Linked DNA regions of Nothobranchius furzeri. The protein of the gene in region 2 interacts with the protein of the main gene of each other region in a pairwise test. Links are inferred from orthologs where the notes say so. Each region holds a gene or a part of one and is shown on either strand. Other genes may lie near its edges.

The links.
Region 1: the proteins of rab2a (region 2) and fam114a1 interact in binary tests that used the Homo sapiens proteins (3 or more experiments, as listed by UniProt). The two-hybrid records come from large-scale screens. The link is inferred for Nothobranchius furzeri from reciprocal best matches to the Homo sapiens genes RAB2A and FAM114A1.
Region 3: the proteins of rab2a (region 2) and tbc1d25 interact in binary tests that used the Homo sapiens proteins (3 or more experiments, as listed by UniProt). The link is inferred for Nothobranchius furzeri from reciprocal best matches to the Homo sapiens genes RAB2A and TBC1D25.

The regions. Positions count from the first base shown.
Region 1 is NC_091747.1:79,447,531-79,458,672, forward strand, and holds the start of fam114a1 (protein NOXP20), read right to left. Parts: upstream 5,741-11,142; 5' UTR 5,619-5,740; intron 4,538-5,618; 5' UTR 4,532-4,537; coding exon 4,235-4,531; intron 3,640-4,234; coding exon 3,561-3,639; intron 3,470-3,560; coding exon 3,219-3,469; intron 3,088-3,218; coding exon 2,953-3,087; intron 2,883-2,952; coding exon 2,730-2,882; intron 2,654-2,729; coding exon 2,476-2,653; intron 1,630-2,475; coding exon 1,544-1,629; intron 1,241-1,543; coding exon 1,043-1,240; intron 942-1,042; coding exon 802-941; intron 504-801; coding exon 431-503; intron 1-430. Other genes in the region: ube2kb (ubiquitin-conjugating enzyme E2Kb (UBC1 homolog, yeast)), read left to right, coding at 8,719-8,781, 9,517-9,610, 9,693-9,751, 10,268-10,350, 10,443-10,542, 10,698-10,826. UniProt on the Homo sapiens protein: May play a role in neuronal cell development.
Region 2 is NC_091751.1:59,001,828-59,013,087, forward strand, and holds the start of rab2a (ras-related protein Rab-2A), read right to left. Parts: upstream 5,523-11,260; 5' UTR 5,350-5,522; coding exon 5,304-5,349; intron 1-5,303.
Region 3 is NC_091755.1:45,663,492-45,669,853, forward strand, and holds tbc1d25 (TBC1 domain family member 25), read right to left. Parts: upstream 6,029-6,362; 5' UTR 5,893-6,028; coding exon 5,848-5,892; intron 5,046-5,847; coding exon 4,936-5,045; intron 4,858-4,935; coding exon 4,703-4,857; intron 4,632-4,702; coding exon 4,507-4,631; intron 4,354-4,506; coding exon 4,165-4,353; intron 2,834-4,164; coding exon 2,558-2,833; intron 2,291-2,557; coding exon 725-2,290; 3' UTR 501-724; downstream 1-500. UniProt on the Homo sapiens protein: Acts as a GTPase-activating protein specific for RAB33B. Involved in the regulation of autophagosome maturation, the process in which autophagosomes fuse with endosomes and lysosomes.

The DNA.
Region 1 (11,142 bases), on a different chromosome or scaffold from region 2:
CATCTTGGTAAAACATCCAGCCCTGGTGGAACTTCGGCTTTGTCACCGATTCCTGGTCATTGGTCTCCAGAGTCTGCTGATATTGAGTGGAATCCATTCATTCCTCAACTTTAACAAGATTCCCAGTCCCTGCACTGGCCACACAGCCCACTGCATTATGGAACCACCACCGTGTTTTACTGTAGGTAGCAGGTGTGTGTGTGTGTGTGTGTGTGTGTGTGTGTGTGTGTGTGTGTGTGTGTGTGTGTGTGTGTGTGTGTGTGTGTGTGTGTGTGTGTGTGTGAAAGGATGAATGATACACTGTAGTGTAAAGCGCTTTGGAGTCCTCTGACACTGAAAGGCGCTTTACAAGTGCGGGTCATTTATCATAAATTACTCTACTGACACGTTTAAAATACTAAAAGTTCAAACTGTATTGAGTCAGACTCACCCCAACAAGAAGGAGAGCATCAGAGAAGCTCTTGCACAAACAGTCTACCTCCGCACACATGGCACACGTCAACCTGGAATACCAAACACGGATTATTGTACTGCAGCGTTCAGTCTTTCCCCGTGATTCACACATGCTGTAACCTCACTCTGCCAAAAAGTTCAACGTCTTTAGCTTAACAGAAATGTTCCCAGACCAAAGTTCTACAAATGTCACCAAAGACCCAAAGTACACAAGAACAGGTTTACTCCCGTCCCACCACAGGACATCACATTAATGAGAGTTATTTCCATGGGTGAAATTCCTTAGTGGGAATGTCTTTAAAGTAAGTCTGTTTCTCATGACGTGTGTTTGAATACCAGTGCATGTACCTGGTGAGGATCTGGGCCTGGTCCCTCGCTGGTTTCTCCAGATCCTGACCATGGAGGATGAGTTCTGCCACCTTGTGGAGCTGCTCGATACTGCGAGCAGTCACCTCCGCCAGGCTGCCGACTGACGACATGTACACAACCTACAGAGGGAAAGACAAACAACAAAAACCAAACACACACAGTGAGACTGCCGAGGAGGACACTGGCTGCATGAAGAAGGTAAACTAAATCATGAGATGACCTCTACTGATCTGGCGTCACTCTCTTTTGCTTTCTTATCTTCGTTCCTCTCCTGCAGCTCCTCTCCATCTTTCTTCTCCTCCTGGCTCTCTCCAGGGGAGTCCTCTCCTCCTGGCTTGTCCTGCGTTTCCCTGACAACCGTATCCGTAGTGACAGGCTGCTCCACCTTGTTCACCCATTCATGGGCCCTCATTCGAGCCTGGAGATGCATAATTACCACCCATCAGCGCTGCATGCTAAGAGCTGATGTATGCTGATGAGATGCATGTCCACGATTCGATGCTAATGTCACTTCTATGAACGGGAATGTTATAATGCTGGAGATTTGCAGAGGTGATGACTTTATTTAATATTGTCTCTAAAACTGCAGCAGGATGCCAGCAAGGCCAAGAATGTGTGTTCGGGATGAGTCATCATTGATGACTGTAATTTTTATATTTGGTGAAATGATGAGTCCTCACATCCAAACTGGTTTTAACTAAAATGGTCAAACTCGTGTTACCTTGTTGAGTTTGTCTGGTGTTGCAGCAACATGAAGCTCAAACAGCAGCTCAGTGAGAACGCTGACAAACTCCTCACCATCAGCAGCTGATAAGAACAGACAAACCAGTCAGCAGAGATTAGCTCACACATTAAAATCTAGCTCTGACACGCCCACGTTTGGACTCCCTCCATGCATGGATTCAAAGGATCTGTGCAGGTACCCGATTGATCTTTTCATGCCAAATTAATTCAACAATTTATCACAATTACGTTTAGATGCACGGCACACATGCATGTTTTGATTGTGGATTGTTTCTAGTGTCTTTCGTCAAGGTGAGTGTGACGCTGGTCCCTGAACACCGACACTGGATCACAACCCATTTCAAGATGGCCGCTATAGCTAATCAGCGTTGGCGAACACAAAAATGGCTCTCACTCTGGGTGTTAGTAGCTCATATAATGTGAGCGGTAGCAGATCACACATGTGATGTTTTGTATGAAATGAGTTTTCAGTTTGTTGCATGGTGGTGCAGTGGGCAGCATGGTTACTTCGCAGCAAGGTTTGAATCCTGGCTGCAGCTTTTCTCTATGAACCTGCGTGGGATCTCAGAGTTCTCTGGTTTCCTCCCACAGACCAAAAGCATGCATGCTAAATAAGTGTCTGCAGAGTAAAATAAATATAAATATAGAATTTGATCATCACTGGAACCCTAAACCAACATTCACATAAAAAAAGAGCTTGTCTGGAGTAAAGCGTAACCTCATGAAGAGATGTTTTGTTGTCCGGCTGAGTCTAAAACCTGCCAGTAGCACATGATGCATCAATAATGGCTGAAGTTCAAAGTTCACCTATAATCATGTCAGACTGCTTTTATCAAGCCTCCTAAGACCACCTGATCCTGGGTCAGTGCTCAGGGACGGCTCTACCTCTGGCTGCTCTGGATCACTCACATAGAGGGGTAGAACATTGTGTTTGGGAACTTAGATCACCATTATCCTTCGTCTGTCCTCCGTTTGCCTCTCCTTCCTCTTCTTCTTGCTGCTTGATGAAAATGTCTCTGATGAAGATCAGCTCCTTCTTCACCTCATCCTGCTCTTCCTCCGCCAGAGCGGACAGGAAGGCTTGGACCTAAGCGTGAACACAGCGCGTTACGTTCACCATGACTAAACAGACACTTTCTGACCGGTAGTGTCTGCTGCTTTACTTGAGCTTCGCTCTCATTAGACAGAATCTCCAGGGCCTCCAGGTGTGACAAACCCTGGTAGTCATCAAAAAGAATCCCGTAGTGAGCGGTGGGTGCGCTGACAGGCTGGTTGTTCAGACGTGCACGCTCCTTCTCCTTCGCCTCCTTCAACATCTGAAACAGAGCACAGACGTTTGGCGCTGGGTTTTCTCACTCAGAGGTAGATGGACTGGTTTGTGCATGCCTGACTCAGCGAGGCAGTTTTCTGCATCAGGGTCTTAGTCTTTTTAAACCCAGGGTCACTTTCTGCGAGAACAGTCATGGTCTTCTTTCCAATGAACTCCAAAGCATCCAGACCTCCACTGATTACCGACTTACCCTGTAGAGGCAGGAAAAGCACAACACGAAAGATCACACCGCTTAGTTCTGAACTTCCATCATGCTAAATGTGTGTGTGTGTGTGTGTGTGTGTGTGTGTGTGTGTGTGTGTGTGTGTGTGTGTGTGCTCACAGTGTTCTGCATTGCATTTGTGATTGTAGAGAAGACGCCTCTGCTTGAAGCTGCAGCAGGAGCAGCACCTGATGTTGAACACTCCTCTGAGTTGGACAGGTCAACATGGCCACCTTCTCCCCCATCCTCCTGTTCTGCTCCACCTCCATCGCCCTCCTCCTCCTCCACCTCCTGAGCCTCCTCACCTACCGAGGCCTTGTGGAGACGAAGAGCCTCTCCTGCCTTGACCTTAACAGAGGTCAGACTCTGCCCTGCACGCAGAAAGTCAAAGACATGGTGGATGAGTGTGTGGAGGGGGACAGTAATAAAATGAGGTATTACAAGTTAAAATAGGAGTCGTACCAACGGTGGAGGTGGCACTGCTCAGGAGAGATTTCCCCCATGAACTCCAACCTCCCCAGCTTTTCTGCTGGAGAGACATCTGTCCACACAGGGACATTTAAATAAGTCACTTACTATGTTTATAATGCAGAGATGCTAACAGGTTTTTATTGAGAGACACTTGTTTAGTTTATAAATAGTAAAAATAGAACATTTTTGATCAAAAACACTGTCTGAATGAACAAAAGCTTTCAGACTTCCCTCGTTTAGACATCAGTAATGTCCAAGTGGAAGTCTGGAGGCTAAGAGAACACAGCGGGTTCTCTTCTTCTCCTCCTGAGTGAACATTAGTCAGTTAAAGTCATAATGAGCAAACACCCCAATCCAATAGGATTCACTGGCTTTATTAACTTTATTGATCCAGCAAAAGAGATGAATAAACAGCTGATCTGAGCTCAGCGTTTGGTATGAGAGCAGTCTGATGTGTTAGTGTGCAGCTAGATCCCCAGGTCAGTAATCAACGGATGCACAGAGGGAATATTGTGGGTGTGTCAGTTGTAGATAAACCAGGTCTTACAGAAAATTGTGTATGAATTTTAAATCTTTGCCCTTAAAACACTGATTTAAAAAAATATTTTACCTGAGGGGCTAGAGGTCACCGACTTAAGAAACACTAACAAAAAGCAAACATTCACCTCCTCTTTTGACCCGTCGGCCTCTGGCTCCAGGCTCACTGGTTGGTCACATTCAGTCAGCTGATTTTCAGCAGGGGGCTGCGGCCGATCCTCTGATGGGTCAGGTTTGGCGCTCGTATCCTCTTCTGCTGTCTGCTCAGCGGACAACTGAAGTTCAACAATCGTGGGGATGAGAGGAGGCTTTGGTGAAGGGGACGGGTGCTCAGAGGACACTGGGACATCCTGACAGAGACCCAGATCAGATGGAGTCCTGCTGTCAGTGCAGGGCTCTGCATCAGAGCGGGAAGCCTGGGACATGGTGATCTGAAACAGGATGGACCCGCTAAGCAACGCATGAGCTATAACGGATCTTTCTCAATGTCCCAAAGCAGGACATTTAAATCCCTTGAGAAGCAAAAACAAGTAATATATTCTCCTTTAGACTAAATAAGTGAACTGGAAAACACAGCCAGTCCTTCAGCCCAGATTAAATACCATCAAAAATGCAGATCAATTCATGTGCATAAAAACAGTTAGCAACTTTTCTCACATTACCATGGTGGTTAAAATAAAACTTAACCATACTGTGAGCTAAATGTTTGAGAGGGGATGTAAAGAACTCATTACATTTTAATCATTGTATTGTTTGCAGAACAACCTAAATAAAAACATCCTGCCCTGAGACGATCATCCTACAGAACCCTTTTGTGTCTAAAATATAAAAGGAAACACTGATTAAAATGGATAAACAATGTCGCCACCTTGTGGTCACTTTCTGCAAATACATTCATAAGACATAATGTCACCCTCTTTGATTTGAGTTAGTTTTGTTTGTTTACAGGCAGGAATAAGTTATTTAACTAAATGTCAAAAGACAAAATCAGTAAAGCCTTATCTTAAATTGTGTGTATGCACAACATGCTATGAAAAATATACTATATAAATGTGTAGAGTTGAATTTCATTATTTTAAAGTTTATTTTTTAAATAAACACACATTTTTTTCGGATGGTGAACACAGATTAACAATTTTCCCTTCAAGCACAAATTTAAAAAAAATCCAATCGGTATAGAGCAGTAAACTTTTCCATAAATAATTTTCTACAGATGTCTTTTTAAAATAAATCTGCTTCATTTTAATCCCGTTCAGAAACACTATAATAGCAGCAGAACAAAGGAGTGAAAACTTAGAGACCAACAGAAAACACCATTGTTATTTTGTGTCTATAAGCCAATAAATCAAGAATTCCTCATGACAAGTTACGCCATCGCATTTCCAGTACTTTACTTAAGTCACTACATTATTTTAGTTTGTTTAGTTGCAGCTTTTTAGCGCTGTAGTTTAAACGAACACGGAAAGTTGTAAACCTCAGATGATTTTGTTTTCCAGAAAGAGCACAGCTCACCCGTTCAGTACCAGCCAGCACAGCGTCTTCCGCCCCGCCACGTCGGCAGGTCGCGGAGCACTGTAAGCGTCAAAGAGTAAACGCTGCCAAGATGTTTCACTGTCGAACCGCGGGGTCTTGACCAATCCAAGATGGCGGCGCCACCGCTCGTCGGGCAGCGCTGCGGCCTTCACCTCTACGGTGGCCTGTAGGTCCCGTCTCAGCCGTGGCGGCAGCTACGCGCAAAAGGAAAAATGCTAAAGCTAGCGAAAATCGAGCAGGAATATTAAGGAGCTACAGCAGCTTCACGTCCATCAGCAGCGTTTGTTCACAAACGTTTTCCGGTAAAGTAATTTTTTTTTATTCTAAAAGTCTTCAGGACTTACATGTTAACTTTAGATCGTTTCGTGTATGTTTTAAGCTACAGAATGAACTTGTTAAACATACACAACACAGTGTACAGAGGTAATTAATATAAACCAAATCCATTAGAAATGTTAAATGCAGTCGGATGTTTTCTAATGTAAATTGGACCTTAGAACTTCTTATTTTGCATCAAATGGGGGTAAAATGCTTTAAAAACAGGCTTATTAATAAAATAGTGTTTTCAATGTGCATTTGTTTATTCAACTTAAGCCTAATGATTAGATCTGTGTTAAAATGTAAATTCTCTGTAGTTTTTAACTATTCCCTGCTGCTTTTCTTTAAACTGAACAGAACCAGTGTACTGCAGGTTATATGTTTTGTTTTACATTTTTCAAAAAAAAAACTCTTTTAATCTATTACAGGCATTCAGCATGCACCGTGCTGCACATCTGCATCTGTGCTGGTGAAGTTTTAGGCCTGGAGGATGGGCCTGAGGAAGATGTGTGTGGAGGAGGTCAGTGGCGCTCTGTCCTGGAGGAGGTCCCAGCAGACCACCACTACTGTTAACAGGCAAGTCATTTATGTAGGAACCTTTATTAAAAACAACACTGTGGTTTAATTTGCTGAAGAGTCACAATTGTTATACCAGTGGATCCATAAACCATCTCCTCATTTCATATTTCTGAATACATCTTAGAGATGTAACAGCCGTCGTCTGAGCCAGCCCAGCAGGTCCTGTAGATGGACGATGGAGTGGACAGTGAGAGGAAGCGTCCCAAAGCTCTCTCTGCAGACCGTCCTGTATGATGTTCCTCTGGCCAGAAACGTCCAGCCACGGGTCTGCTCCAGCCCTCCATCCACGTCTGGATTCTCCTGCAGCAGATCCAGCTGCACTGTTAAAGACTTCCTGCTCACTCAGTTTAAATAAATGATCCAGGAAGAGTCACTCAGGTTAATCCTGCTTTAACCGTACAAAACTGGTCCATACTGGTTTTGATCTGTAAATAAGTGTAACCTATTATAAATAATCTTGTCTCCTTACCATCTTTTCATTTTCTGTTCATGTAACATGTTCAAAAGCATCTGTAATTAATAAAATTGGTGATAAAATCAATGACCAGAAAGAGTTATCAGTTAGTATTTGTTTTAATAAACGTGTTCAAATATCAAACAGCTAAATAACATTAACATGATTACAGTAGAAGGCCTCTCTCCCAGGAGGACCAACAGGTAAAGACTGTCCTGACCCTGGACACCTGCAGTCCTACAGAGAAAATCAGAGCACAGGTGACAAAAAGGCAATAAACACAGTTTTACATTTATCCACATGAGAAGATAAAAATTATATTCTTCACACAAACTTTTTACTTAAATAAAACGTGTCAGCTGTGTAAATCCCTGAATGTAAAACTACTTTTCACAGCAGAACTTCTGTGGTTGTGTGTGTAAACAGCTTCACTCTTCACCTCTAAACTTCATAAAACGTTCTGTTGTCCCTAAAACATGATAAGTTTAACTCGCTACACACACACACACACACACACACACACACACACACACACACACACACACACACGGTGATAAAACACCTAATAGATAGTTGTTTCATCATTCATTAGGGAGACTGGACATTTCTCCAGACATCTACTATGAATCTATTAACACTTCAGGTGTGCAGCAGGTCATTAAAGTTAACTTCTTAGAATCATTTAAAGAAAAGGGTCCCAACAGTTTTGGTTTTTGAAACATCTACGTCATCGCCATGAAACGCAAAATGAAACTACCCTGAAGTTACTTTTAGGCAGTAATTCTGACCGATGCTCATCCTAGTTAGCTGTTTCACCAGGTCGTGGCACTGATGCAGCAGGTCTGATCATCTGTAGGTGTTGCTGCTAATCACAGCTGCTCACTAAATGAAAGCCTACAGAAGATAAATCAACAGCTTTAACTTTCTATAACTTAGTCACCCCATGATTGTTCTTTTAGATCAGAGGTCCCCAATCTCCGGGCCATGGACCGGTACTGGTCCTTGGGTCATTTGATACCGGGCTGCACAGAGTTTTTGCGGCTCCATGCATCGTTCTAGAATGGTAGCCGTGTTTTTTCCAGGGCTTTAATCCTGGCAGTGGAGAGGATAATCAAATATGACATCAAACAGCAAAACACGATTTCCTTCTCTTTTGTTTAATAGCAGATTGCATTTAAAAAAACATGACTTTTGAAGTCTTGAGGGATTTTGTGATCTCGCGAGTTAAGAGAGGAAGCTGTTTCATGGCCAAGACTCTCCCAGTGTGTAATGGACTGCACTGAAGCCAGGGGCACCTCCAGAAAATTTTGATAGGGGTGGCCAGATGGGGCCAAACAGTTTTTTGGGGTGGCACACCAAATTGGTCCTTGTGACAACTCTGGGAGAGTTTAGCCTGTGGTGATGTGTTGCATAGCTCCTTTATTCATTTTCATTAAAAAGCAGCATGTATCCAAAACATTTAACTTGATTTTACAAACACAAATATTTCAGAACAGTACATTTCAGTTATTTAAAATGTTATTCCAAATTTTATTTAAAATGTAATTTTTTAGGTTAATTCACCTGTTGCTGTGTTCAAACACATACACGCGCGCGCGCCACCGTGAGTGGAGCCCAGACCGTAAAATTAGCCCACAGGTAGGACGTTTTGCCAAAGTAGGACGTTTTCTCAGAACACCGGGTCTACCTACCTCAGAGGCAGCACTAGCTCCACAGACACACTCAGCCATGGCTAACATCGCAGTCCAAAGGATTAAGCGAGAGTTTAAAGAAGTTCTCAAGAGCGAAGAGGTGAGTCTCTACCACAGTTTGTTCTTACACTATCTGGGTTGTATTTGGTTTAGATCGTGATAAACTCTTACTGTGACAGCAACAATTATGGGAAACAAAATAACCTGAAGTCTGTAATGCAGCAGCAGGTCAGGCCCTAGCAGTCAGAACTTTAGCTAGCTTTAGCCTCACAAATGCCCGGAGCTCTCCTGCTGTGCCAGGGGTGTGTGTTCAGGAAACACCGGGGATTGAGCTCTATCACCCGACAGGCCCAATGTGACCAACAACAACACCACATACTTTTTTAGAAAAATGTAACAAGCCTCGTATGAAAAGTAGCCACCATTGTTCTTTCTGTATTCACTAATATTGTCATTTCTACGCAGCAGCTTTTGACTAGCTGGGGAAACGGTGTTATGACATCTCATCTAGTTAGCATTAGCATGTTGTGTTGAAACGTAAACGTCGATAAACCTAATCTGTTTGAAATTATTGTTCCCGGTTCTTTATAAACCGTCTTTATTTTGCCTTTTAAGGTGTGTTTTAGATCATCTGTAGACAACGGTGTCTCGCTGTGCTCTAGCAGCTAGTGGTCTGCTTTGCTAATGTAGACGTCCTGGTTTTACTGTAACTGCTATAAATGGACCAATCAAACGAACATTACAGTTTCCGCATTTAACCACCTTTCACATGTAAATGGGAACTAGGGATGGTAAAAAATGCTTTTGGTGTCCCTGTTTTTGTCCCAATCCTCAGACAAGTAAAAACCAGATTAAAGTTGATTTAGTGGATGAGAACTTCACAGAGCTGAGGGGGGAGATAGCAGGACCTCCAGACACGCCGTACGAAGGTACCATCTCTCTCCTACACAACACTCAGATCATTTCATTCATTTACTCTCAACGTTTCTTTTTGTGTGGTCTCTCTCCAAGGTGGCAGATATCAACTTGAAATAAAAATCCCAGAAACATACCCTTTTAACCCACCAAAGGTAAATGTCCCTCTGCAATAGTGAGTCTGTCTTATGCCCTTATTACTTGTTTGAATCAAACATCAGATGACTAGTGGAAGCAAATTCTTGAAATGCTGAGTTGGGAGACATTTTCTGGTCACTCACCTTTGAATCAGCGGTGATGCAACTACCTAAGTTGGAGCCATTCAGTGACAAAAATGTGTTTAGGGAATCCATTTTGGCTGTTTTGTGTTTAAACTTTATAAATAACTACTCATATCTGTTGTAGCTTCCTGAATGTCCTCAGTTTGCATCCATGAGTACTGATCTGAGAATGTTTTTATTGTTCACATATGAGATCTAATGAGGTAGTTATCCGTTTGCAGCGGCTCAGCAGGAAAAACAAGTGTGACAACAGAACATTTAACATTATTGTAGGTACAGATGTAAATGAAGTGTAAGATGTTACGTATGTCATGCTGATGAAAATGACTGGTTTTCTGTTTCTTTTAAAACATATATGCTAAATAATCTTTTCTTGCTCACTTGCTTCAGGTGCGTTTTATTACCAAGATCTGGCATCCTAACATCAGTTCAGTGACCGGAGCAATATGTCTGGACATTTTAAAGGACCAGTGGTGAGTGTGGAGGGTGAAAGCTTGGTGATCTCTGGGCTTCAGTGGTCAACTGTCTTGTGTATCTACTCCGACATCTCACCTGTCTCACCCAGGGCAGCTGCGATGACCCTCAGGACGGTGCTGCTGTCTCTACAGGCCCTTCTTGCTGCAGCAGAACCAGATGATCCACAGGATGCAGTAGTAGCAAATCAGGTGGGCCCGACTTCCAGGGTTAATGTTTAATTTTGGGTAGATTTACCCTTTTGGTAATTATGGTTCAAAATTATGGTTCAAAATAATATCAATAATAATTGTTGTTTTTGTAAGGTATAATGTTGCAGTCAGTGTTTTCTGGTTTGAATTTCCAGTACAAACAAAATCCAGAGATGTTCAAACAGACAGCACGGCTGTGGTCGCACGTCTATGGAGGCGCTGCTGTCTCCAGTCCCGACTACACACGAAAAATAGACAAACTCTGTGCCATGGGCTTTGATAAGGTTAGAACCACTGTTCAGTTTTGGTTGAACCACTGTGAAACTTAAAGGTGTGGAACACTCGTTTATTCAATACATTTGCAGTAGTCTCTAGTAGGAATAATACATTTGCCGACTGCAAAACTTCCTCAGAGCTGACGCTGATGGTGGCGTCACTTCCTACTCCGTTTATCCGCGGGCAGCAGAGGACGTTGTCGCCCTCTGCTGCCTGCTCTCCCCTCTCCGATGATGCAGTCCCATGCACGATCCAACGAGTAAACTCCATCGTCTCTGTTCATGGTCCCACATCTACGTCTCCTTATCTCTATAGCTTCTTTTA
Region 2 (11,260 bases):
GAATATTTTTGTAATCGAGTACTCTATCGAATCTTTTATCGATTAATCGAGTACTCTAAATTACTTTTGCGTTCGTAAACCCTTATATCAAATAGCATGTTATAAAATATAAAAGACCTCTTGAAATGAGCAAGCAATTGCCAGTTATTCTTCAAGGTTTATTCAAAATTAGTTTTCAAAACTTCAGCACTTCAACTTTACTTTACAGTAAACAAATGCGAGCGGCTGCGGCCCTAACAGCACCAGAACTGCTCATGGCGCATGCGCAAGCATGGCTCGCCAGCTGTTTCCCTATTAACACACGTCCGTTTTAATTTCTACACTTTTTGTCTCACACTAACAAGGATTGTCGAAAGCATGTTTGCCGTGGTTATGTCAAATTATACTGATCATAAAACATCTATTTACTTTCTTTCGTTTTCCTCCGCCACTCTCATAAATACCTGTGTTCTCCTGCAGCAATCCTGAGGGACAACAGACATCAACAACAACACAATAAAAAGTCTGATGTGTTGTAAAAACTGCTATTTTTAGCACATTTTAAGACCGACGTGTTGCTACCAGACATACGGTGTGAGCTGAAACCAAGTGCTACAAATGAAAAAGTCACACAGTGTCTGCCGAATATAAGCAAAGCCATGAATTAATTAAACATGAATTAAACGAAGCCTCGAGGCAGAGAATTTGACTCGAGGATTTTTTGTACTCGAATTATTCGAGGTACTCGAGGAATCGTTTCAGCTCTAGATGGAAGCAAAACAGGTTTCTCCAATTATGTATTTACTGATAATAAACAATTAGGAGGACACGTGACCGGGGGTGACCCTGCATACTCACAGTGTTATACATCATCAAACACTAAAGCCGTTTCCTATACCTGACCTAATATTAATTTTTGAAAATGTCAGCGACACACCCACAACTCTGGACAGATAACTATGTTGCAGAGTTAATTAAAAATTAGCAACTTCTTAACTAAAAATTAAAACAATTCATTAAACAGGAGCAACTTGGAACTGTGATAGCTTAAAAGAACCAAAGCAGAGCCACCCGAATGAACTTTTATTCAACATTTGATCTAAAAATATATTTTGGGTTGTTTCCTGCATAAAATCTCAAAGCAGACCGACAATAAGTCGTTACACATTCTCCAAGTTTTTGCTTTGAGATATTTGTAGGAATGAAATGGTGGAATTCGACAAACATCTCTAGTCCTGTTGGACAACTAACTGGCTGTACGGCACGTGTAACGACAAAACTGAAAGAGCCTGAACGTTTTACAAAAGTTTTCAACAATCTCTGAATTAAGTACAAATGCTTCACCTTACGGCATAAGATTTGGTTTGAATCAGTAGATCAGCTATAGATCAACTCCCTTGAAACAGGTTTAATAACTAGCGTGTGATTAAATAAAAATAAACACAGATCATCACCCACATTTTAAGTGTGTGTGTCGGGTGAATTAAATCCGTACAAAACAAGACACAGAAACACACAGATGAGATTTACCAACCCCTTAATTTGCATCAAGAAATGCTTTTAAAGTGTTATCCACAAATCACCTGGTTAAGGAAACCCACTTATGTTGACATAATCATAAGAACTAGGGGTGTAACGGTTCACGAGGGTTATTTGAACCGTTTCGGTTCAGGCAGTTCGGTCCACTTGCGTACTGTTTAGGTGTATTTTTTCCATTAAATAATGAAATTTTTACACATTTGTGTGCCTTAAGTGCAGCGGATAAAAGTTTCTTGGCGTTTCCGCACGGACGCTGTACTGAGTGACGCATGATGGCTGCATGCGCCCGGTCTCCATTTAAAAAATGTGATCTGCAAATTCTGATCAACGTGTTTCAAAGCAGATCATACCAACTGGCTATCGCTGCTACTGTGGAGTCTGTGTAGCGACCGTATATATATATATGTCGATGGTAGAGACTGAGCATCGTGTCGCCTCACCCTCCCTTCTCTCAGTGTGCAGGCACGCAGCGGCAAACATGTAAACAAACATGTCTGCTGAACTTTTCCGCTGTGACAACTGATGTAAAATTTTCATCCTACAATGAAACATATGTTGCGGATGACGCTCATTATTTAACACGAGTTTTAAAGAAGAAATACTAGGCGGTGTGAGGTGAGTTTTTAAGAAATAAAACACGTCAAACACAACACTCGTCTGTATGAGTGAGCTGCGCAAATCATAGGCATGAATATGTAGATGCCCCATTGGGCGCTGGAGAGTGTAACAGCGTCGCCGCCGCCATGTTGGATGGGTCTCCTCACTTTCCAAAGTCAATGCAGAGTGAGCAACTATGCCCCTTTCTGTGCAGCCTACAGTTACAACCAGCATACAATTGAAAACAGATCACGTGGGATTACTAGTGACTTTTCTAGACTACCTGATAGGATTTTATATTTAATATTTATATTTAATTTTATTATATTTTAATTAGAATGCCATATCTTGTGTTTGATTTTGTGAAAAAGCTTGATAAAACATGTTTTTTTGTTGGGTAAGCCCCTTCCTCAGTACAAATGAATGCACTGGGGGCTAATCTATCTAAGGCGGTCGGCCATTACGGCATCTCCAATAGACAGCGTCAGTCCACGAGACATCTATGTATATATGTCTGTGGCGCAAATAACCTGTGAAATAATTACATACATCATGCTAGATTAGCAGCCTGTGATGACACCTGGTTCTGCTCACTATAGGAGCAGCTTCAGATATTAAATAAATAAATACATCTAATAATAATGTACCGAAAATTAATCAAGCCGAGCCCTTCAAAACACTGAACTGAACCGAATACAAGTTTAGTGTACCGTTACACTCCTAATAAGAACTGAGAGTATGTGGCACAAACATACTTGTAACCAAGCTAGGAGCCTGGCTACAGCTCAACACAACATTCAGTACTAGAAATAAACAACATCCCCAACATGATCCTGTTTTGCAAGATGCCTGTAATAAATATGCAGCCCACCAAAGGGGTTAATTAATGACCTACAATGGTTTTACATTTGTGTGAGAGAAAGCAGGGAGAGAAATCTTCCCTCTAGATGTATAACTTTTACAATTTTATTATTTTCTACATAATCACTGGTCTAATCGGTGCCCTCATTGAAAAAGAAGAAGAAAAAGAAAGTATCATTTCTATAGCGTCTCTCAAGATAAAAGTCACGAGGCGCTTCACAAAAACAAAAAATGTAAAAATATAAAAAAGAATTTAGAAAATGGTTAAAAATATATTTAAAATTAGCAAATAATAGACAATTGTGATTAAAAAAATGTAAAGAGAGAGAGTGAATAGGAAAGAGGGAAATCAGTGGATCCTGAGGAAGGTGGAATAGGTGGGGAGAGCAGAATAAAGAGAGAGTGGTGAAGAAGGTCATACAAAAGCCAGCTTGAACAAGTGAGTCTTCAGCTGCTTTTTAAAGGAGACCACTGAGTCCACTGATCTCAGGCTCAGGGGGAGAGAGTTCCAGAGTCTGGGGCCACAGCAGCAAATGATCTGTCACCTTTGGTCTTTAGCCTGGTGCGCTGCACAACCAGTAGGCTTTGATCACTGGACCTCAGGGACCTGCTGGGGGTGTAGGGACTAAGAATATCACCAATGTACGATGGTGCTTGTCCATGTAAGGCCCTATAGACCAGAACCAGGATCTTGAAATGAACCCTGAAGTTGACTGGCAGCCAGTGAAGCTGGAGGAGAAGCGGGGTGATGTGGGTGTGTTTGGAGGACTTGGTCAGAAGCCGAGCACAAGCATTCTGAACCACCTGCAGACGGTTGAGGGAGGTTCTTCTCAGACACGTGAAAATAGAGTTACAGAAGTCTAAGCGTGAGGAGATGAAGGTGTGTATAACTGTCTCAAATTCAGATCGGGACAGAATGGGACTCAGCTTAGCAATGTTCCTGAGATGGAAGAAGGAAGAGTCTCTGACTTTGGGAACCAGCTTGTCTGGGGCACAGATGAGGATCTCAGTCTTATCTTCATTCAGCTGTAGAAAGCTCCCATATCCAGGTTTTGATAGAGTCTAAGCAGGTGTGTAACAGCTGCAGCTTAGACATCTCATGGGACTTAAAGGAGATGTACAGTTGGATGTCATCTGCATAAAGATGGTAGGAGACTCCTTTGAAGAAGCTCAGGATGTGCTAAAGAGGAAGCAGATAGAGGAGGAAGAGCAGAGGCCCAAGCACAGAACCTTGTGGGACACCATGGGTAAGAGAGGTGGTGGAGGACCTAAACTTGGAGACGGCCACAGAAAAGGAGCGCTCAGAAAGATAAGAGGAGATCCACTCCAGAGCAGTTCCTGATAGGCCTACCCAGTCTCTCAGCCTCTCCACTAGCAGGTGATGGTCAACGGTGTCAAAGGCTGCAGTCAGGTCCAGCAGGACCAGAACAGAACAGTCCCCTGCATCACCGTGAGTCAGAAGGTCATTAGAGACCCTATTATATATATATATAAAATATAAAATATTAAAAAGTAAAATTGACTGCTTTAGACGGAATATCTCCAATTTCTTTGATGTGAATGATCCTGAGCCCTTTTGTTTTACTTTACTGCCATCAAACCAGTCAGCTAGTCTGACAATGATGCTACATCTTAATAAAACAGCGGTATTTGTAATGCACCTGCTGTCATCCCGCAAGTTAACTCAACAGGCCCCTCATCAGAGCATCCTAGTAAAAGTGAATTGAGGCTATTATCTCTTAATCACTGGACATGTTTAGGAAACAACACCTTACAAATTCACACAGCCTCGTAAAATATAAACGTCGTGTTAACAGGAGACATTGGATCAAGTCTGAGATTTCTACGCCATTTCAGGCTACATCCGAGGCTTTAGGCCTAAAGCTAAGCTAATGGTAACAGTGTTATTGACGATGGGTGGCTCTATAACGCAAACATGCTTTTGAGGCCTGTATGTATGGACACAGATTAGGATGTTAATTTGATGTCGTGACAGGTGTTGGGTGGACATTGACTGGTTTGGTTAGCAAGCTGAGGCTAACACCCCCACCCTACACGTCAATGGACAAAAGGCCAAAACATCTAACAGTATGTCCACAACGGCTACATTATAGTGTGGACGGGAAAAATCGTGACTGAACTCCTCTTTTACTGTTCTGATACCGCCAGTGAGAATTTTTGAAGTAAACAGGTAACTTATTGGGGAAGAATTAGAGCTGTCATCCCACCCCTTGCGTCTCTGCTTTTCCCACGTCATTGGACTATCCAACACTGCGGAAATACGCCGCTAGCAGCTAAATACTAGCTAAACGCTAACTGCAGCTTACCCGTGTCCCCGATGATGATGTATTTGAAGAGATATGCATACGCCATGGCCTCTAGGGTTTGCAGTCAGCTGTCTCAACCGTTACACCTTCGTAAAACCAAGTGCGAACCGTCTAAGAAGAGTGTCTGACAGCTCGTTAGCCTGTTTTTCTGTGTCGGTTCTCAGGAAGGAACAATAAACAGCAAGAGTCTCGGCTCAACGTCATACGGTCCGCCCCCGCCACGCTACAGAATGATGCGTTCATGTTCAGCTCGAAAACTCAAAGGTGTATTTCATTACAATGACAGATGTGGAAATGAATATTAGAGTGCTAACTACTGGCTCTGTCGTCATTGCACAGATTTCGCTGTGTCTTAAAAAAGTACATTTTGATCTATTGACGCATAGGTTCAATCCATGCAAAAATATTCTTTATTTTATTTATTTGCTTTCTTGAACAAGGACAGCACAAGAGACAATTGTTGCATGTAATGGCAATGCAACCGTTGCTTTGCTTTGTACAGAGGTTTTCTAGCCAGAGGCTAATTTGCAAACCTAGTCCTTGGTTTGACTTTTAGATATAATCAAAATAACATCATTTATAACATTTGTCATCTCTCTCTCTCTCTCTCTCTCTCTCTCTCTCTCTCTCTCTCACACACACACACACACACACACACACACACACACACACACACACACACACACACACACGCACGCACGCACGCACACACACACGCACGCACGCACGCACGCACACACACACACACACACACACACACACACAAAGCAGATAAATTAGTTTGACTAAGAAACATCAGTGCTTACAAGTTTGAGTTTGTTTCAGCCACTTTTTTGCCTGGGAGTTAAAAGTTGTAAAGTGTCACAGTTTTTTTGTTGATGGTAGATTGTTCCAGATCTGAGGTTCTTTAAATGAGAACGAGGATTGACCAAATGATGTTTTGTATTTTGGTGTTTTACAGTCTCTGTTGGCTACTCCTCTGGTTGTAGCTCCTGTGTTGCTGGCTTTTATAATCAATCTGCTCACCAGCTCTAGGACATATATTGTATATGAAGCCGGCAGGCTGGAGCACTCATGTAAATAACACACACACGCACACGCACACGCACACATTAAACATATATATAAATACACACACACCATAGACACACACATATATACAATTACAACAACCCAGGATTCTGTAGTTATAAAATATAGACCTAAATTTACTTTTTAATAATGTAAAATTGTTTATTTAGACATATATGTGTTTATGATCCATGAAAACTTAATGTGTTAAAAGAAATGACCACTAGATGGCAGAGTGGTTGTCTGACTGGAAAAAGGATTCAAACCCGGGAGACGGCAGGAAAAGATGGCGCAGCGTCCTGGCGATCTTTCCTCTGAAGTAAGTAAAAGTTGAACCTGCACGCTTTGCACTCCGGTTATAATGAGACAGCTATTATTTTTGACCATTTCAAACGTTTTATAGGTCTGACAGCCAGATTCATACACTGTCCTTATTTCTGTGTTAGCAGGCGCTAACGTCTGTGTGAGCTAAGCTAGGTTAGCCATTTCAAGCTGTTGTGAACATAGATATGAAACTAGAATAGTATTTGTGCGCTGTAAGATGAACAGAATTATTCAGTTGTACTGCCAAACTTGCATTTGAATTTGTTCAGGTGACATCAAGGGCATAAAAGCTGCTTAGCATAGCATTGTTTTGCAAGGTTAGCTTACAGCCTGTTTAAAATCCATCTATTAAAAATGGGTTTCAATCATTTAGCAGCTTAGTTACACAACTGTATTAACATGCGTGCCAAAGTGAAGTTGCTGTTGTTTTGAATGTGTTATAAACCATGCTGAAAGACAGAAAATTCACTGAACAAGCCCGACCACAACTCCCAGAATGCACCGGACAGGGAAGCGCCACTTTATGTGTGCGCACAATAACAGTGGGACAGTTTACATGCGAGGAGATGTATTTAACTCACAAAATAAAATCACAAGATTGATAAACAAGTTTTTTTGGTGAAGCTTGGAGGATTTTTACTGCTATTGTTGAGCTTTTTTCACTTTTTGAGCATTTGTTATGATGTGTAACCATGGCAACAAGCTGGTTAACAATCTGAGCGGCTGAATAACATTGGAAAGGCTGAAATAATACCTCAAGTGAAGCCATGAATCCCAAATGAGCTAACACGCAAGAAGTGTGAATGCAGAGCGGGAGCAAAACGGAGACAAAGAGGAAATACAAACCATCTCCTCCATGTCACGATCTGCCCCTGCCCGCCTGACTGTGTTCTTCTCCTGCCATGATTGCCCTTATTGTTCTCACCTGTCCCTCGTTTACCTGCCCATGTTTCCCTAATTAGCCCTCTGTATTTATACCACCTGTTTTGCCCCTGTCCTTTGTCAGATCATTGTTGTTGTTTGTTGGTGTTCCTGTTCATCCCATCCTGCCATTAAACCTTTTTTTTTTACTTTTACTGAAGCCTGCATTTTTACCTCCTGCTCAGCTCATCCACACATGGTCCGCCGTCTCCACCTCCTACACCGTGACACTCCATCGATCGTAATGGGCAATGTGAGATCACTGGCCAACAAGATGGAGGAACTCCAAGCCCTTTCAAGGACTCAGCCAGAGTTTCGGCAGTTTCAGAACCGCTGGAGGAGATAATGCAAAGAAGGATTCTCCAGAGAATCAAGAAAATTATGGACAACCCTGAGCATTCTCTTCACAAGACTGTCCGACAACGGAAGAGTGTCTTCAGTCAGAGGCTTCTTCAGTTTCGCTGCAACACTGACCGCTACTGGAGATCCTTCCTGCCAACAGCCATTGTAATATACAATAACTCTTTGATGACTTGATTATTATTATTATTCTGAGCTACTACAGCAATCAATTTCCCTCTGGGATTAATAAAGCATTTTTGTATTTGAATTGAATTGAATATATTAGTGCTGTGATAAATAACATGTTATTTTAGTTAATTAATGTGAAACGTTATATTATGGGGAGAAAATTTTTTCAAAAGATTTGTGCATGTGTGTCTAAATTTGTGTGTGTGTGTGTCTAGATTTATGTGTATCTAAATGTGTGCGTCTAGATTTGTGTATGTGTAACTCTTGATTTGTAACTTGTGTTTAAATTTTCGTGTGTAACTTCAGCTCCTAAACATACAAATCATTGAATACACACACACACAAATCAAGACAAAACTACATCACACACAGATCAGTTTACACTTACAACAATCCTTTTGAGACTTTTCTGAATTTTCTTAGGATTCTGTAGTTATAAAAGATAGACCTAAATTTTCTTTTTAATAATCTAAAATTGTTCATTTAGACATATATGTGTTTCTGATCCACGAAAACTTAGTCAAAGTGTTATAAGAAATGACCACTAGATGGCAGAGTGGTTGTCTGACTGGAAAAAGCAGGATTCAAACCCGGGAGACGGCAGGCGAAGATGGCGGGGCGTCCTGGCGATCTTTCCTCTAAACCTGCACGCTTTGCACTCCGGTTATAATGAGACAGATATTATTCTTGACCATTTCAAACGTTTTATAGGTCTGACAGCCAGATTCATACACTGTCCTTATTTCTGTGTTAGCAGGCGCTAACGTCTGTGTGAGCTAAGCTAGGTTAGCTATTTCAAGCTGCTGTGAACATAGATATGAAACTAGAATAGTATTTGTGCGCTGTAAGATGAACAGAATTATTCAGTTGTACTGCCAGACTTGCATTTGAATTTGTTCAGGTGACATCAAGGGCATAAAAGCTGCTTAGCATAGCGTTGTTTTGCAAGGTTAGCTTACAGCCTGTTTAAAATCCATCTATTAAAAATGGGTTTCAATCATTTAGCAGCTTAGTTACACAACTGTATTAACATGCTTTCCAAAGTGAGGTTGCTGTGGTTTTGAATGTGTCATAAACCATGCTGAAAGACAGAAAATTCACTTTACAAGTCCGACCACAACTCCCAGAATGCACCGGACAGGGAAGCGCCACTTTATGTGTGTGCGCAATAACAGTGGGACAGTTTACATGCGAGGAGATGTATTTAACTCACAAAATAAAATCACAAGATTGATAAACAAGTTTTTTTTGTAAAGCTTGGAGGATTTTTACTGCTATTGTTGAGCTTTTTCACTTTTTGAGCATTTGTTATGATGTGTAACCATGGCAACAAGCTGGTTTACAAACGGGAGTGGCTGATTAACATTGGAAAGGCTGAAATAATACCTCAAGTGAAGCCATGAATCCCAAATGAGCTAAAATGCAAGAAGCGTGAATGCAGAGCGGGAGCAAAACGGAGACAGAGAAAGAGGAAATACAAACCATCTCTTCCATCGATCATAATGGGCAATGTGAGATCACTGGCCAACAAGATGGAGGAACTCCAAGCCCTTTCGAGGACTCAGCCAGAGTTTCGGCAGTTTCAGAACCGCTGGAGGAGATAATGCAAAGAAGGATTCTCCAGAGAATCAAGAAAATTATGGACAACCCTGAGCATTCTCTTCACAAGACTGTCGACAACAGAAGAGTGTCTTCAGTCAGAGGCTTCTTCAGTTTCGCTGCAACACTGACCGCTACTGGAGATCCTTCCTGCCAACAGCCATTGTAATATATACAATAACTCTTTGATGACTTGATTATTATTATTATTCTGAGCTACTACAGCAATCAATTTCACTCTGGGATTAATAAAGCATTTTTGAATTGAATAGAATAAATATATTGTTAATTTTTATAATAATAATAATAATTATTATTATATAATTGTTTTTAATTTATATATATATTAGTGCTGTGAAAAATAACGAGTTAATTTAGTTAATGTGAAATGTTATGGGGAGAAAAAAGTTTCAAAAGATTTGTGCATGTGTGTCTAAATTTAGGTGTGTATCAATATTTGTGTGTGCGTGACTAAAGATTTGTGTGTGCGTCTAGATTTGTGTGTATCTAAATGTGTTTGTATCTAGATTTGTGTGTGTATAACTCTTGATTTGTAACTTGTGTTTACATTTTCGTGTGTAACTTCAGCTCCTAAACATACAAATCATTGAATACACACACACGCACACATCACGTGGTACACACAAACAATACTACATCACACACAGATCATTTTACACTTACAAAAATCCTTTTGAGACTTTTCTCACTTGACTGATTTGTGTGCATGGTGCGTTCAAAAGCTGGGTTGAAGCTGGAAAATCAAAATTTTTGGATTTACCGGTAGTCTAAACTTGTATTTAAGGGGCAAGATGTTTTTCTGTGGGAAAAAAAGGTATCTTAGGATTCTATAGTTATAAAATATAGACCTAAATTTACTTTTTTATAATGTAAAATTGTTTATTTAGACATATGTGTTTATGATCCATGAAAACTTAATGTGTTAAAAGAAATGACCACTAGATGGCAGAGTGGTTGTCTGACTGGAAAAAGCAGGATTCAAACCCGGGAGACGGCAGGAAAAGATGGCGCAGCGTCCTGGCTATCTTTCCTCTGAAGTAAGTAAAAGTTGAACCTGCACGCTTTGCACTCCGGTTATAATGAGACAGCTATTATTTTTTACCATTTCAAACGTTTTATAGGTCTGACAGCCAGATTCATACACTGTCCTTATTTCTGTGTTAGCAGGCGCTAACGTCTGTGTGAGCTAAGCTAGGTTAGCCATTTCAAGCAGTTGTGAACATAGATATGAAACTAGAATAGTATTTGTGCGCTGTAAGATGAACAGAATTATTCAGTTGTACTGCCAAACTTGCATTTGAATTTGTTCAGGTGACATCAAGGGCATAAAAGCTGCTTAGCATAGCGTTGTTTTGTAAGGTTAGCTTACAGCCTGTTTAAAATCCATCTATTAAAAATGGGTTTCAATCATTTAGCAGCATAGTTACACAACTGTATTAACATGTGTGCCAAAGTGAAGTTGCTGTTGTTTTGAATGTGTTATAAACCAT
Region 3 (6,362 bases), on a different chromosome or scaffold from region 2:
GAACCGAGGCCATTCAGGAAGCCAAGAACAAGATGGGAATGATTTGTGACGTTCACACAGGCTGAGTGGAGTCTCCCTTTAAGGCTTCGGCACACCTGCTGAGAGAGCGCCAGCGGCTACGCCCGCCCCGTCGAGGGTCCGGAGACCCCGGCGGAACTTCGGAGACGCACATCAACAGCAGCCATGAGATTCATTACCCACAACCTGGCCAGGTTCTGCTGGAGATGTAAAAGCAGACTCCTGAACCCTCCTCCTGGGTTTCCGGACACGAAACCAAAACATAAACAAAGATCAGAGAAAGGCCGAATGCACCGACAAGACTCCGCGGTCCTTCAGAATCCAGGCAAGCCGAGTGAGCTTCAGCTGTCACAATTTAAACTTCATGCGTCTGCAGCAGCGGCGGCGGCAGCAGCAGCAGGAGCGGCAGCAGCAGCAGCAGCAGCAGGAGCGACAGCAGCAGCAGCAGCAGCAGCAGCAGCAGGAGCGGCAGCAGCAGCAGGAACGGCTGCAGCAGCAGCAGCAGCAGGAGCGGCAGCAGCAGCAGCAGCGGCTGCAGCAGCGGCGGCGGCAGCAGCAGAGTCGACGCCCTCACAAAACAAAGGATATGATGATTACAGGCGGGAATACACGTCAGCAGGCACGCGGGACGAGCCCGGCCCAACATCAGGAGGCAAACGGAACCTCAGAGTCCGACCACGGTGAAGTCCAAAGCTGCAGGACGGAATCAGGAAGTGGAAGAAACCGAGAGGGGAACGGTGGCGCTGAGGTTGTAGGTGGAGTTTGGTGACGACGGGGGTGAAGCTAAAGGGCTGTAAACGGGCCGCGTGGAGAGGGACGGAGACGGGGACGGAGGAGCCGCTGTGGTCGGAGAGTCCGAGCTCACCTCGTCTCCTTCCTCCGAGTCCCAAACCTCACTCTGCAGATAGTCGGCGAACAGGGCCTTGGCCCGCTGCAGAACCCTGCCGAGGTTGTGGCGGCGCACCAGGCGGTCGAAGTGCATGGCGATCTCGTTGTAGTCCAGGTTGTTCTTGATGATGTGGTCCCGGTGCTCCAGCAGGATGGACAAGCACAGGAACAGCATGAAGGGGTTTCCCTTCCCGAACTCCTGAGGAGGAGGTAGAGAGCAGGGTTTGATGCTGGTGGTCTCCGCCTTCAGGGAGCCGGGCGTGCTGGCGGCGGCGCTGGGGGACCTGGGGCCCGGAGAAGACAACCTGCTGCCTCCGAAGGACAGGACGGGAGAGGACAGCAGGGACCTGCTGGGACCGTGAGAGGGGGAGGTTTTCACAGGAGGACAGCTGGTCTCTGCGGTGCTCAGCACCGGGACCGGAGAAGTCCACACTTTAGGGACAGTCTTTGACGAGGCCTCGCCTCCGCTGGCCGGAGATGTGGGATCGGGAGGAGAGTCGGGAGAAACTCCTGGCCAGCCGGAGTTTGAAACTGAAGATGAAGGAGAGACGGAATGTCCGTTTTTCCAGGCTGGAAGTCCACCGGGGAAGAGGGAGCGTGACGGTGCTGGAGAGGGACCGTTTGGACAGTTTGTAATGAGAGGCGTCTGTTCTCCTGGGTCGTCCTCGCTGTCCACGGTGGACTGGCGCCTTGGCTTGTCCCTCGCCGTGTCAGCGTCCTCCATGTCCATGCTGTCTTCACTCCGAGCGGTGTAGTATTTAAACTCTCCAAAGCTGGGTTGTCTCTGGCAGCAGCGACGCCGGGATTCCGACTCCTCCGCGGTTTCTGGAGCGTCGTTTTCCCTCCCAGCGTCTCCGGCTCGCGCCTCCTTCTCTTCAGCGAGGATTCTGCGCACCTCCGGCTCTCCTCTGGAAGGCCTCAGCATGTGCCGCCGACGCTGCTTCTCCTTTTGTCCCTCATCATCTCTATGGACATTTTCCAGGGTCCCCCCTCTAAAGGCCGTTTGTTCGGCCTCCACCAGCGGTCCCAGGAGCTCCACTTCCGTTTCAGGAGGATCCGGGGGCAGGGAGCTCCAGGTCACCTCCAGCATCCGCAGAGCATCGTCGAACGCAAACTCTCGCTTCAGCTCCAGGAGAAGCCAGCGGTAGCAGAAGAAGAGGTCGTCGGCTCCTCGGGACACCAGGTAGGTGTAGAATTCCGGATCCGAGTACTGCAGGAGAAGCTTCAGGTGCTGGAACTTGACGGACATGAGCTGCCCGTCTGGTCGGAAGTTTCCCTCCACGCGTTTCATGATGCCGCAGAAGCAGATGAAGGCATGTGCCTCGTTGTCCATGACTGCTAGGATGGGAGAGGCGATGTCACTCATGCCCTGGCAGTAGGAGATCTGGAAAACATCCCAGAATTCCACAAGTCCGTTAGACACCGGGACAAAGACAGCTCATGAAAAATGTTTTACAGATCCGACCTGAAGCCGAAAGTTCTACAAAGACTCATCGTCTGTCTGAACTCCAGAACGTTCTGGAATGTTTGGGAATATTTGGGAATTGTGAATAAAAAGCAGCAGTAAAGAAGTTTGAACACCTGGTGGTGAAGCAGCAGGACGCCTGATGATCAGCGTCTCTTTAGGGACGAGGTCATGTGATGGACTCACCTGAGGGTGCGTGATGGCGAACGCGGTGAGCAGGTCGGTGAGGGCGGTCAGGTGTGGACTGTCCTCTGAGCCGGCGTAGTACGAGTGAGCTCGATCCGTCCTCAGGACGTCCTTCAGAACGTTTCCACGGATGAACTCCAGCTCCTCGTGGCTGACCCGGGCCGTCCACTCCCTCTTCAGCTGCTCGTACTCCCTCGTCTTCCTCTTCATGTAGTCCATCCTCTCCTGCCCGCTCAGTCCGTCGGGATAGACGTTCAGGAGGTAGCGCCACACCACCTGACGGAGACAAACACTCTGTTTCTGGTTCAGTCACACCGTAACGGAATGAAATGACTGTTTTCCACCTAAAAGTCACCCCCCCAATGTGACCAATCTGTGAAATGAAAATATTAATTACTTTATTATAATCCTATAGAATATAATAAGTAATATGACTTTAAATGTTTCCACTAGGACTGATCTCACGTAGCGTTGAGAGACGACACATTACTTTCACTGATCCAATCAGAATCTGCCAGATCTGACGGAGGCGGGGTTTTGGTGGTGCTTGGTAAATCTGTCATCTTTTCATTCGACCGTAAACCAAAACATCCGAAGTATAAAACTATGCCCACGCCATCTTTAACGCCAGTTCAACACGTTCTAGAGAAGTTGTCGGAGTGGCCAATCCGTAACTTTCCTCTTCAGCCGAAAGAACCAACGACAAGCTGGATAAACCTGTTGCTGTTCCAACTGCTGCAACGGTTCCTTTCAGAATAAAAGCTGAACCATCACGACCCAGGTTTGGGTCTCACTAGATGCCAACAAAACTGTCGTGACCCGGAAGTATCTCAAGACTGGTCTGGTCGGCAACCGCTGCTTTTCTACCGGCTTCAGGTCCACAAGGTCAAGCTGGACCTCGACATTCCTGATCTAACGGGGACTTCCGAAAGGGTACGTAGAGCGACAGGATGGCGTCTCAATGTGTGTTTATGAATCTCCAAACCAAAGCTTAGCGTGAAGACATCACCTTCACTTCCATCAGAACTAATCGTTCCTCCGGATTTGCTGGTTCTGAACAACATTCCACATCACACCATTCTCCATCTCATCCACCTTAGTTACACCATACATCTAGTGTTTAAGTTAGTCTAGTTTTGATTTGTTTAGTAATAAATCTTTAAACTTTTAAACTTGACTCTCTTCTGTTGTCTCTGAGTGAATATGAAGCTGTTACATAATCCCTGCAATAAAAAGTTCCAGTCTTCTGGTTAAAAGTACCCAAAGATCCATAAGGTTGATTTCATATTTCCTATGGAATCTCATCTCTCATGGTTACAACGCATTTCTGTCATTTACACCAACGAGTGAATTAGAAACGTTTTTCTTGTTCATCGATTTGACGTCTGCTGGACTCAGCCGGCGAACATCTAAAGTTCTGACTGAAGTCCTGAACGAGGAGAGCTGTTGGGCGTTTTGGGCTCTCGTGGACCAAACCCACTAGGAGACCTCGGCACCTCCAGAACGACGAGCGAAGGAGACGTTCTGCCCTCTGAATCTGGACGTTCTAGCCTAAACCACCTCCAGGAGCCCGTAGAACCGAGCGTTAGCGGAACAGGAGCAGAAACCTTTCGTAGCGACGGCTCCACGCCACCGTGGTAGATCCTCAGCCGTAGTTCTTCCGGCCGGGTCAGCTGGCCCTGTCCGTTCAGGTAGCTGTGGAACTCCGAGTCGCTCAGCGGAGGTTTGAAAGGTCTGATCTCCTCCCCATAGGACCAGGTGAAGGCCTGCTGGACTCGAGACAGGGTCCGACCCACCTGTAAACAGGTACGGACGACCCGTTTGACGTGACAGAAACTTATTTTGGATGAGAAGGTGTCTGAAGTTGGACTTCAAGTGAAGTTTAAAGAAAAGCATTCTGATTTTTATGCACCCACCACCCACCCACCCACTACTGGTGACCTGCTGACCTGGGACAGTAAGGACTGGGTGAAGGGGAGAGCTGCAGAAGCCAACGTCCTGGTCCTCTCAGTAAGCAGCTCAGAGCCAATCACGTCTTTGGGACTGATGATGTCCCAGTCCTCCATGACTGGACCTGCAGGTAAAAAGAAAAGGATGAAGTTCTATTCCCTCCCCTCGTGCTTTTGGACAACTCTGGGTCCTTACTGTCCTCTGAAGGCTTCACGTCCATCTTCAGCTGCAGGAACGGTTTAGCTGCGCTCATAAACGCCACGTCCAGATCCCAGTCCGACAGCAGAGACAGGTGCGTCTCCACTCCGCTCCGATCCCGGGACAAGTAGCTGATGCTGAAGTTCCGCTTCCTGGTTTGATTCAGCAAACAGACAAAAGGTTTATCCACAAGCCCTCGGCAGCGTGTTGGGATGGAAGTCACCTCCTACCCGTTCAGGTCGAAGGCTCGGATCAGGATGTGCTGCAGAACCTCCAGAGACGTGATCTGAGGATCCACAGCAAAGGAGCGAAACTCGACAGGAAGAGCGCCGTCACATTTCTGGAAGGAATCAGATCAGTGGAACATCTGGGTGAGACCGGGACAGGCTTTGGAGAACAAAGCTGGGTCTGAACGCCGCTGATGAGAACGCAGACATTAACCACCGTGGGACCATGTTTATGAGTAAACAACAGATGTTTTATCTGTAACTGCAGCTTGGTGATGGGAGCTTGCATTAATGAACCCTTTCTCCATTCAGCTCAAACAAGAGCAGCTGTAGCCGAACCTGATGTGTGTTCAGCCCTGGAGGTCAAAGGTCGAAGCTAAGAGACGTTAACCACAAGTAAATAAATAAATAAACAAATAAACGTTTTGACTAAATAAAACCTTCAGAACATCAGGAGGAACTTCTAAGATAAAGTAATGACGTCAGGATGGAGGCTGAAATAAAATTCCTCTCGTGGCTCTTCCTCTCCAGGTAACATTTGACGTCACACGGAGCAGCGAGGTGACGTCAGCCCGCAGCTTCGGCGAACTGCTCCGAGTTGGACAATAATCACAAAGAACGACAGAAATGGGAATCGATCAGAACGAGCTGAGACTCGGAGATGATCGATCAGCTCCTGCTGCTGTCACCGCCGCAGGTTTCAGAGCCACAACAAACAAACAAACAAACGACCGACACACACACACACACGGCCTGGGTTCCCCACAGACTCACTCCTTCTTCTCCCATAAGCAGATAATTGTGTTTCTGTCCGAGTTTATTGTTTTCTCCGCGTGTGTCTGACAGAAATAAACACAAGACCGAACCGGGACAACGGCGTCGTTAGCCGCCAGCGGCGCGCGGTTAACATCCTACCTTGACTTTGACACGAACCACCCCCCGCTCCTCCTCGCCTGCCATCCTAAAGACTCCGTCTGGAAACAGAAACGTTTCTAGGAAAACAGTTTCCGTTCACACCGACATGGTCACCGTGACATGGTGGAGCTAGCGCCGACAGAGCTCCACTGGTCCGGGATCTTCTTCTGTTTTCGTTCTTTACAGGAAGTTTTCAGTAGAAACACCGCCACCTGGTGGTCGAACCCCGAAACCGTCACTTCCGAACGCATTCAGGATAAATGGGAAATCTTAACTTCACAACAATCAGCCAAACTCTGATCAGTGTTTTAGTTGTTTCTGTTAGCCCCGAACAATCGTAACCGATCCATCACCGATCCAAACTCTTCAGTAACAAAACGAATGCATTTCAACGCACATCATGGGCTTTATTCTGGTTGGAGGGAAACATATCCAAACATGTCCACGCATAGTGACTTTGCCCTTAACTGGAACACGGGTTAGTATGTAAAGGCAAATAAAGTATTCTTTATCAC